Linked DNA regions of Neurospora crassa OR74A. The protein of the gene in region 1 interacts with the protein of each later gene in a biochemical or structural test. Links are inferred from orthologs where the notes say so. Each region holds a gene or a part of one and is shown on either strand. Other genes may lie near its edges. The genes, in order: NCU02496 and camk-4.

Region 1 (4,482 bases):
CCGAATGCGTAGGTCTGGGCCCTACTAAAGCCCTTACGGGTCTGGCGTAGACGGCCCATTTCTCGCTCGCACGTGTTGACATGTTCGGCGTCATTCATCTCGATATACGCTTGAGGGCAGCAACGTTCCCGGTGATTCTGGAAGAATCCGCTATAGCCTCCGTCCAAGATGTAAACATCGGGGTACGTGAGTTTAGGATAAAATTCGGCGTTGATAGTGCGGTCTTCGGATCGTATGTGGCGGGCCATGATGGGCGCGCGATGGGCTGAATATTCGCAATGAAAAATCAAGAGCGTGCGCCCTTCCATAGGGGTCTCGAACAGATGTCTCGCCAAAAGCTCCTTGTCATTGTAATTGATGGCCCCGTCAATGTGGCCACCTTCATACTCGTACTCGAAGCGGCAGTCAATAATCATCCTGTGCGAGTACTGACTACCATACTTGCCGTCAAGCACTTCGAGCAATGTGTCTCGGCTGATGCGTGGGATAGAATCGTTCTCGCCTGAAGGGAAAAAATGTGGCAATAAAGGCTCCTGAGGTTCGTTGACATCCACGACAGACTTGAGACTAGATGGAAGAGATGTGCGCTCCTTAGGCTTGACAATGTCGCCCGGACTCTCAAACATGGACAGCGAGCGGCGGAATGTTTTCCTTTGCCGGGCAAAGGGGTTCGAAGGTGTGCGGGCATTGTTGGTGGGAGAACGTTTGCGAACGCTGTTAATGCTGCTGCCGCTGCCAAAATGAGTCTTGCAGCGCGCTGCCGCTGCATTAGAGCATGGACTACCCGGCAAGACAGGTGTCCGGCGCTCCTGCGGGGGTGATTCCTCGAAACATTCGCTCAATGACAACGACACCGAAGGGGAGATGGGTACCTTGAGGTTCCGGGCACCGAAGCGGAAGGGCGGCAGCCCCGACCCCGAACCGTTGGAGCGCCCGGGTATACTACTCGTGCTATAACCTTTGGCCCGGGCCAGAGGTGGACGAGACAAGCCAAGTCTCCTTCGCCTGGCAAAGAGAAGAGGAGATGATTAGCTTCTGCACAGACCAAAGGACGAGGGTAGAGTTCAGGAAGATTTGCTGATCAAAAGTCAAGCATGAACTTACTCGGCACCGATTCCCTTGGATTCTTGAGACAGCTGCCGCACAGCAGCAGGTGAGTCTGGTAGTGTGTCTTCATCGCCAGAATCCACTGCAGCCGGAGAAGGACTAGCGGCGAGACGTGACAGGAAAGGTGCCTTGATCGGTACCGGAGACATGTCCAACCTGTTAACTGCAGGTGACGAAGATGCAGGAGGCGGCGGCGTGGTTGCATACCCTACAGATCTGTCAGCGTCCGAGCTTTAAATAAGCTATGTAGCAGATTGCTCGCTCCATTGATTACTCACCACGACCTTCAACCGCGTTTTCAATACCTGTTGAGGTGAACAGCGCACGCCGTGGTGTCGGAGGTAACGGGCTACTGCAAAGTTCCATTTGGTCAACACTGTCGACAATGCTATCCGTTGTTCGACTTCTAAGTGAAAAGGCTAACCCTGCTTCATTGAGCTTGAAGTTTTCTGACGACCCGGCGACCAGCGAACCCTTAGGCGAAGACCTTCCTGCATGTTTGGTGTTGAACAAGTCCGCATTGGATCGCTTGAAGTTGAAGAGACCTGTTGGTGGCGCCAAGTTGCCATTGCGCGGTCCAAGCACTTCTGGCTGGCTGAAGGACGGCGGAGCAGGCCGAATCGCGGCCAGGGGCGATGAAGCCTCCATATTATCGTGACAACTCTCCAACCAGTTTCGACTTTCCTACGGATTGGCGTTCGGCATAGATCGGTGTTCCAATTGGTCTGTCGATGGGCCGGGTTCCGTCTGAATACTGAACAAAAGCCAATTCTTGGAGATACGACTGAAGCTTGCGCAGCACTCGAAAAAGGGTCGCCAATCGATGCTGTGGCTGGCTGATTCGCGTTCGTGGAATCGTCGTCACTGTCGTCGAGAGCTGCTATTGTCGGGTTCACCGTCGCGATGCTATGGACCTGGACACCGAGAGAAAGGTCCGCTCGAGTTGGCGCGCACGGAAGACCAAGGGGACTGGACTGGACTTGGGACTTGAAGATTGTCGCCGAGCAAGATGACAGAAAGACCTTAAGCTAACTAGTGGTGTAAACTGGACGCGCCGACATCGATGTCGATCAAAGCCTAGTCCATATCCGTCAGCCAACAATGCCTTCCCGAAAGTGCAGGCAGGGAACTCGGACCAGTTTTAGAAGCTCTGTGGTCGCCGGGATCAAACAATCTCCGTTTTTCCTTGTTCGAAAACTAAAAGTATGGTCGGTTCCGTCTAGTTGTTCAATGCCACGGGCGGTATGCAGCTGTGCAAACCTTTGCGCACGGCAGAACTTCTTTTGGCCGCCACCTGAGGTGTTCTTTTAGGTAGACAGTGGGTTCCGTTGTATTGTGGGTAGACGGGCAGTGATGGCCTGCGGCCTGGGGGCGGGGTGAACGAGGTTCGGCACAAGCGCTCAGCTGCACACGGACAGCCTGGTGGGTGACGGGATGGAGTCTTTTTGAGGACTGCGAATGGGCGACCGCATAGGGTGAACTGGGCTGGCTATGTTGAAAAGCTAGAATAAAGGTCGAAGAGCAGAACGTGCATTCGTTGTTGTAAGAAGGAGGAGCACGTAGGTGTTGTGTGCACGCATGTGTCACGGTCCAATGTTGAGTGAAAGCGAAGAGGGGAGCTGCTGTAAACATCCATCCAGAAGCTGGACGAGAACTCGCAAGTAAACTTGGACCTCGCTCAAGTGGTTGGTAGGAAGTTGACAAAATCGGATGTCTGCGCTGTTCAGTGAGCTAGCTGCCCCTGTTCAGTGGTCCCCGAAAATTGGAGGAGCACTCGGCGACGTTCAAGGTCCTGCCTTCAACTGGTTGGCGGAAGGGGCAACGAGGATGGAGGGTTGCAACGGCGTTGCACCTACGGAAGCCCAACAACGAGAACGACACCAGGCCGAGGCGGTACTGGAGTTGACGCTATCGTGGGTAGGCAGGAGCAATCGGCGCTATCCTCGACATGTTAGAGGAGAGTTTACAGCATCTTAGCGAAAGGTTTACAACATGTTATTACCCGGTTAGGTTGTTTGTAACCGGTGGTAACTGGACTGGGCTGTTACCCAGCAACCTAGGAAGTTCTATGTGGGTAGTACCTGGAGCGAGCGCTGCGCTCGGGCGCTTTCGGAGACCCCTGGCATGTGTCACTTTAATTCCCGTCGTACGGTCCCGTCTGCTGCACATTGCCCAGAGCGGGAGCTTTCCACTTGGCACTAGTGACTTCTGTCTTTCATCTCATCCCTCCTTCTTTGTTTTCGTCAGTATCATTATGCGGGCTTATTATTGCAGTGCATCATTTCATTCTTTCCGTTTACACGAGTTGCTTCTATTGCGCGGGATCGGGCGTCAACTCCGCGGCACATCCCCGGGCCTACCCACGCAGTAGAGAGGTACATAAGCGCTCGCTGAAGACTTGCATTCGGTGCGTCTTTGCGCCGAGGTACATGAACTCTGCCTTACCACGCAGTAGTACCAAGTATTCACTATCACCTCTCATCTTTGTCTAACCTGTAAAATGTCACAATTCCGCTGACACTTTGACCTGTCCTCATTATTTTTTCTACTTGCATGGTCCATACTTCTTGATTCACTCAGGGTCATTTACGCACACGGCAGCCCGGGAGGGATGACAGAAGTGTGACCTTTGAAAGGAATAGGCAAGGGATCGGAACTCGGAAACAATGTCAAAACTTTTGAACACCAAGAACCTGTTCATCGACTATTTGACGAAGAAGTTCTCGGTCTGCGCCTTCTCCTAGTACCCATCAATGATGCCCTGGAACAGCCTGACTGGTTCTACCATGTTGTGATGTTGGAAATCCAGTGGAAACATCGAGCTCGTTACAAGAATTTGAGCCATGGGACATGATTTCGCAGATAAACCAAAACCAAACTCTACTATTCACAGACTCGGTTCAAGTGATGGAGCCTGTGAATGGCTGTGTCGGAAAGCCATTTTGGTGGTGAACCACGGTTGCCTCCCGGCGAGACCCCATAACCGTTCTTGCACTTCGGCATACGATCGCTCCCTTTTGTTTTGTTTATGTTGTTGGCTCCTCAATTGTATCTGACGCTTTCCGATCAATGTCTCACCCAGGTTTTCGTTGGCCGTCATTCACTATCTCTTCGTTGTTACAACCTAGCAACGAGCAGCAAGACTGATGTCGCGTTGTGTGGCGAGCGGATGTAAACAAACATTGCCCCGGCGACGCGCGGGGTAACGCGGTGTCACATGATGACGGTCCACAGTGTATTCAGGTCACTTGAAATAAACCATGTTGAGATCGATTGACGCAGTACTTCGCAAATTCTGTAAAACGTTATTAGGAATAAATGGGCCTCCTCATCCAGTCGAATATGCACACGTATTGGTAGAGTGGATGTGATCAT
Region 2 (4,464 bases), about 3.3 Mb from region 1:
TTGGGCGATTCAGTTTTGAACCACGCGACTCATGCAATACCAAGAGGTTTGAATAAAGCATCGATTTGAATTTGAACTGAAGACTTCTTTCACCTATCGGAATGCAAGCTCTCCGAACGCGCCTTCCAATAGCTTGGTAACGAGATACGCGTTATCCTGGACGCCAGAAGAGGGTGGGCCTTGGAGCTGAACTTGGTTTGACATCTGACCTTGGTCTGGATGCCCATCTAGGTAGACCTAGACCAGGATGCAAAATGATCACCTTGATGTTTGTTAGACTCGGGACGGAATCTGGTGGGGTTCAATTACATGGGTCAATGAATGAGAGAGTTTTCTGGACGATATACGATGTTAGAAAATTGGGAGCAATCATCTCGTCGTCGTCCTCGTCGTCGCAGGCAGTGTGGTTTCATAACTGCGTGGTGGTTTCCTTTTTCCGCGCTAGCTTCTTTCGGCAAGCGGTAGTGGAACGCCAGGATGACGCTCAGCTACGTCATACAAGTGGGAATCTTGGATCTGATCTTGCCGACTTGTGGAGACGCTGGACTGTTAGTGAAGCGGAAAGTGGATGCCAAAGCATGGAACAGCGCTCGAGAGTGAGAGGCAGCATTTTACGCTTTGTGCCCAATCCCATCGTTCAAACCGACCCGTCCCAATCCCCATCCATCACGCGCGGTCACCGCCGACAAACAAGGGCGGCTCGTCCTGGACAAAATAGTCGAGACCTTTGACATTATACCGTGGGTATACTCCTACTACGCATCCAGCGTTTTTGTTACACCTCTGATCTTGAGTTCTAAATAATTCCTGGATAGAAATATTCAATTGGGACTCTAGCCGATGTGAGGTTTTTTTTTTTTTTTTTTTGAATCGTTGTAATCCCTATCACAGCGAGTCTTTCCATCTCGGCGAGCGGTAGCGGACTGTTTTACTTAACCTCCTAACCTGGTGGTTGGTCTCATCTATTTTGTCTCGGACGAGGGTGGCCCCTTCCAGTGCAGACATGGTATTCTGGTCGGAGGAGCAAAAAAAAAAAAAAAAAAAAAAAAAAAAGGTAGTTACTTGAGGCCCGTATTCAACTCCAGGTAGCGTCTGTGGCTATGAGCGGTTTGTGTCATCTCGACTGACTGGCGGGACTGGACATCGACTCAAGCATCGTGCCCGCCCCTCGTGGGTCCGGTTAGGCTCAACAGCTGCGGTCTAGACAGGAGTCTGTCTGGTCTCTTGAATGGTAGGTAGCATGGCATATGGCATGGCAGCATGGATAATAGTCTGATGTAGTGTAGTAATGCGTGGTATGCGCCCGATGATGAAAGAAATGATGAAACCGAGAGGGACGAGCGAGAAAAAAGGAACACACCACACACCCTCCACCCGACTAGGTCCCGGTCACTCCCAGTCCCGGTAATAAAATAAGAACAAAACCCCTCCATGCCCCGTCGCCCTTTCCATCCTGTTTTCCCCCACCTTACCAAGCACCACTGCACACAGTCAATCTGCCTTCTGCGCGACCAGCATCTGATCATTGAGAAGTGTCCTTTGTCGGCATCGTCCGCCCTTTTCACTACACTGCATTATAACGAAACCCCGTCCAGGCCCCAGGATCATCCTTCTGTTCACGTGCGGACTTGACAACTGCGTCACTTCCTTTTGCAAATTATTCCTTGGTTCGGTCGTGCAGCCACTGTGACCTCAATTCCAGCCAATAGTAGCGCCCGCTTGCCCCGAGTCAAGCCTTCCTGTTGACTGCTGAGGTACCCTTCTGCCGCCCATTCCTCCTCCCGGCCGTCGTCATTGACTTCCGACAGACGGTTAATATCTTCTCGACACCAACGCGCGTGTCTGCGATCGCCATTTTCAACTCTTTCCAATTCCCCGAAACCATTTACAGGGCAGCCCAGCGACAGCAACGTCCTGTCCTCCACCTACAAGCCGCGCTCACCCTACCATAGCACCTCCGTGCTCATCTCTCCACATCGCCCTTTGCAAATCGGCACATTGATCCCGCCCAACACTGCCCGACCCCGCAAACGACCGCCTGCACGGAAATCCGCAGGACACCACTCGAGACACTCAACAGTCCTTCACTGCGCATTCTCGGCCACCTATTGATATTGTGACGACGCATAGTCCCAATTGCGAACAACAGTCCACCTGATTTCACTAGCTCTGCTCAACACCAGCTGAGCACCAAGGCGAGGATCCAGGTGCATCCTCCCACCGCTGTTCACCAGCCAACTCTCACAAACCTCAACCAAATCGTCATCTGATCAAAAAGCCCGAATAATATCCGACAAAATGTCGACAATACAACAGTTGAAGAACTTCATCCGACACGGTATGTCTGCTTGAGATGCTTGCTTGCACCTGCCCGCGCTCAGTACCTCTCCCCTGCCGTCTCCTCACGCCCACTCCTCCCTTCCCGATGGCAAGGAGTCGCAAGCTAATATCGGCCTTAATCAAACAGGAAAGCAAGCCCGCACTGCAAACCCTGAAGAGCCGGCGCGGACAAAACAGGCCGACCACTCTGCCACACAGCATCACCACCAGCCCACAAAGATGGCGGCCCCTGTCTCAGAACCTAACCTGGGAGGCTCTCCGCCACGCAACCACCAAGCGCCCGTTCAAGATGCCTACTCGAACACGCAAGTTGACGGCCATAACCGTGTCGCGCAGGCTGGCCATGCCGCTGCCCATTATGCCGAGGCCGACCAAAACCTAGCACACAAGACCAAGTCAAAGACCAAGGTTCCCGACGAGAATATTGTCAGGCTTGTTGCGGAAGAAAACGCAAGCAAGAGCAAATTCCCCAGGTACCCCGGCCTCGAGCGATGGGAGCTCGTCGAGAAGATGGGCGACGGTGCCTTCAGCAATGTTTACCGCGCACGGGATTTGGAGGGTAACGCGGGCGAAGTAGCCATCAAAGTTGTTCGCAAGTTCGAGATGAATAACATGCAGGTACGTGACAGCACACCGGGGATGCCCTCTTCTTCATCTTCGCCATCCTCGTTTCCTTTCGTCTTTGCCGTTTTATAAGGTTTCAATACCAACCTCCAGGGCTCACTATAGAGCAACAAACATCTCCATCCGGACTTCAAGCCAAAGGCACCAAAGGCTGCAGAGGTGCGAGAAATTTCTCTTTTGTCTATTTCCATTGTTGGTCGTCAATGTACTCTCCTCTCCTCATATGTCTCGACTGCTTTGTTATTGACGACCTGTCTCTACCCCGATCAAGCAATGGGGTAGGGACGTGCCCGCCTACTCATGTTCTGATGAGTTAACAATGACTGTGAACAGCGAGCCAATATCTTGAAAGAGGTGCAAATCATGCGCCAGCTTGACCATCCCAACATCATCAAGCTTGTCGACTTCGCCGAGTCTCGCCAATACTACTACATCATTCTTGAACTGGCGCCTGGCGGCGAGCTGTTCCACCAGATTGTGCGTCTGACGTACTTTAGTGAGGATCTCTCCAGGCACGTTATCACACAGGTAGCAAAGGCTCTGGAGTATCTGCACGAGGAGAAGGGTGTAGTCCATCGGTAAGTTGACCCACATCATCGTGCCAGTAGTTAGTGAATCTCTGCTCACTCCTTGAACAGTGACATCAAGCCTGAAAACATCCTCTTCAGCCCCATTCCATTTATCCCCTCGAAGCACCCGAAACCCAAGCAGCCAGGTGATGAGGACAAAGTTGACGAGGGCGAGTTCATCAAAGGCGTAGGTTCTGGTGGGATTGGTCAGATCAAGATAGCCGATTTCGGCTTGTCCAAGATCGTCTGGGACAAACAAACCATGACTCCCTGCGGCACTGTCGGGTATACAGCACCCGAGATCGTCAAGGATGAGCGGTACTCCAAGGCAGTCGATATGTGGGCGCTGGGTTGCGTTCTCTACACTCTTCTTTGCGGCTTCCCACCTTTCTACGATGAGAGCATTGAGGTCTTGACGGAGAAGGTTGCCAAGGGCCAGTATACCTTCCTTTCGCCATGGTGGGACGATATCAGCAAATCCGCCCAGGATCTTATCTCGCATCTTCTGTGCGTCGATCCCGAGAAGCGCTACACGATCACAGAGTTCCTCGCGCATCCTTGGATTGCCGGCTCGGGTCCTACGCCAAGAGACGAGCGGAAGAACCCGGATGGTGTGCTGCGGGCCTTCGATGCATCCAAGATTGTGGATGGAGACAGACGTTATGACTTCCGTTCTCCAGGTGCTGTCAATCTGCGCGAAGTGTTTGATGTTGGCTATGCCGTCCATCGCCAAGAGGAAGAAGGCAAGAGACGTCATAACCTTGGAGCCAAGGCGGGCGTGTCTCGTCTGGTAGGCCTCGACGAGAACTCTGACGAGGGAGAGGATGTTGCTATGCATGATGTCGTAAATGGCAAGCAATACCATACATCTCTTGAGCAAAGCATGCGCAATGCCCAAATCAGGGATCAACAACAGGAGCAACGCGGTAGG

What was found.
Region 2: of the proteins of NCU02496 (region 1) and camk-4, one has a biochemical effect on the other in vitro, tested with the Schizosaccharomyces pombe proteins (2 studies listed by BioGRID). The link is inferred for Neurospora crassa OR74A from reciprocal best matches to the Schizosaccharomyces pombe genes cdc25 and srk1.

Annotation. Positions count from the first base shown.
Region 1 is NC_026501.1:2,517,937-2,522,418, forward strand, and holds the start of NCU02496 (M-phase inducer phosphatase 3), read right to left. Parts: upstream 2,848-4,482; 5' UTR 2,244-2,847; intron 2,185-2,243; 5' UTR 1,756-2,184; coding exon 1,532-1,755; intron 1,460-1,531; coding exon 1,386-1,459; intron 1,316-1,385; coding exon 1,105-1,315; intron 1,006-1,104; coding exon 1-1,005.
Region 2 is NC_026501.1:5,859,056-5,863,519, forward strand, and holds the start of camk-4 (serine/threonine-protein kinase), read left to right. Parts: upstream 1-1,428; 5' UTR 1,429-2,298; coding exon 2,299-2,338; intron 2,339-2,467; coding exon 2,468-2,958; intron 2,959-3,069; coding exon 3,070-3,123; intron 3,124-3,297; coding exon 3,298-3,542; intron 3,543-3,602; coding exon 3,603-4,464. UniProt on the Schizosaccharomyces pombe protein: Delays the mitotic G2/M transition by promoting nuclear exclusion of cdc25. During osmotic stress, inhibits the G2/M transition in a sty1 stress-activated MAPK pathway-dependent manner.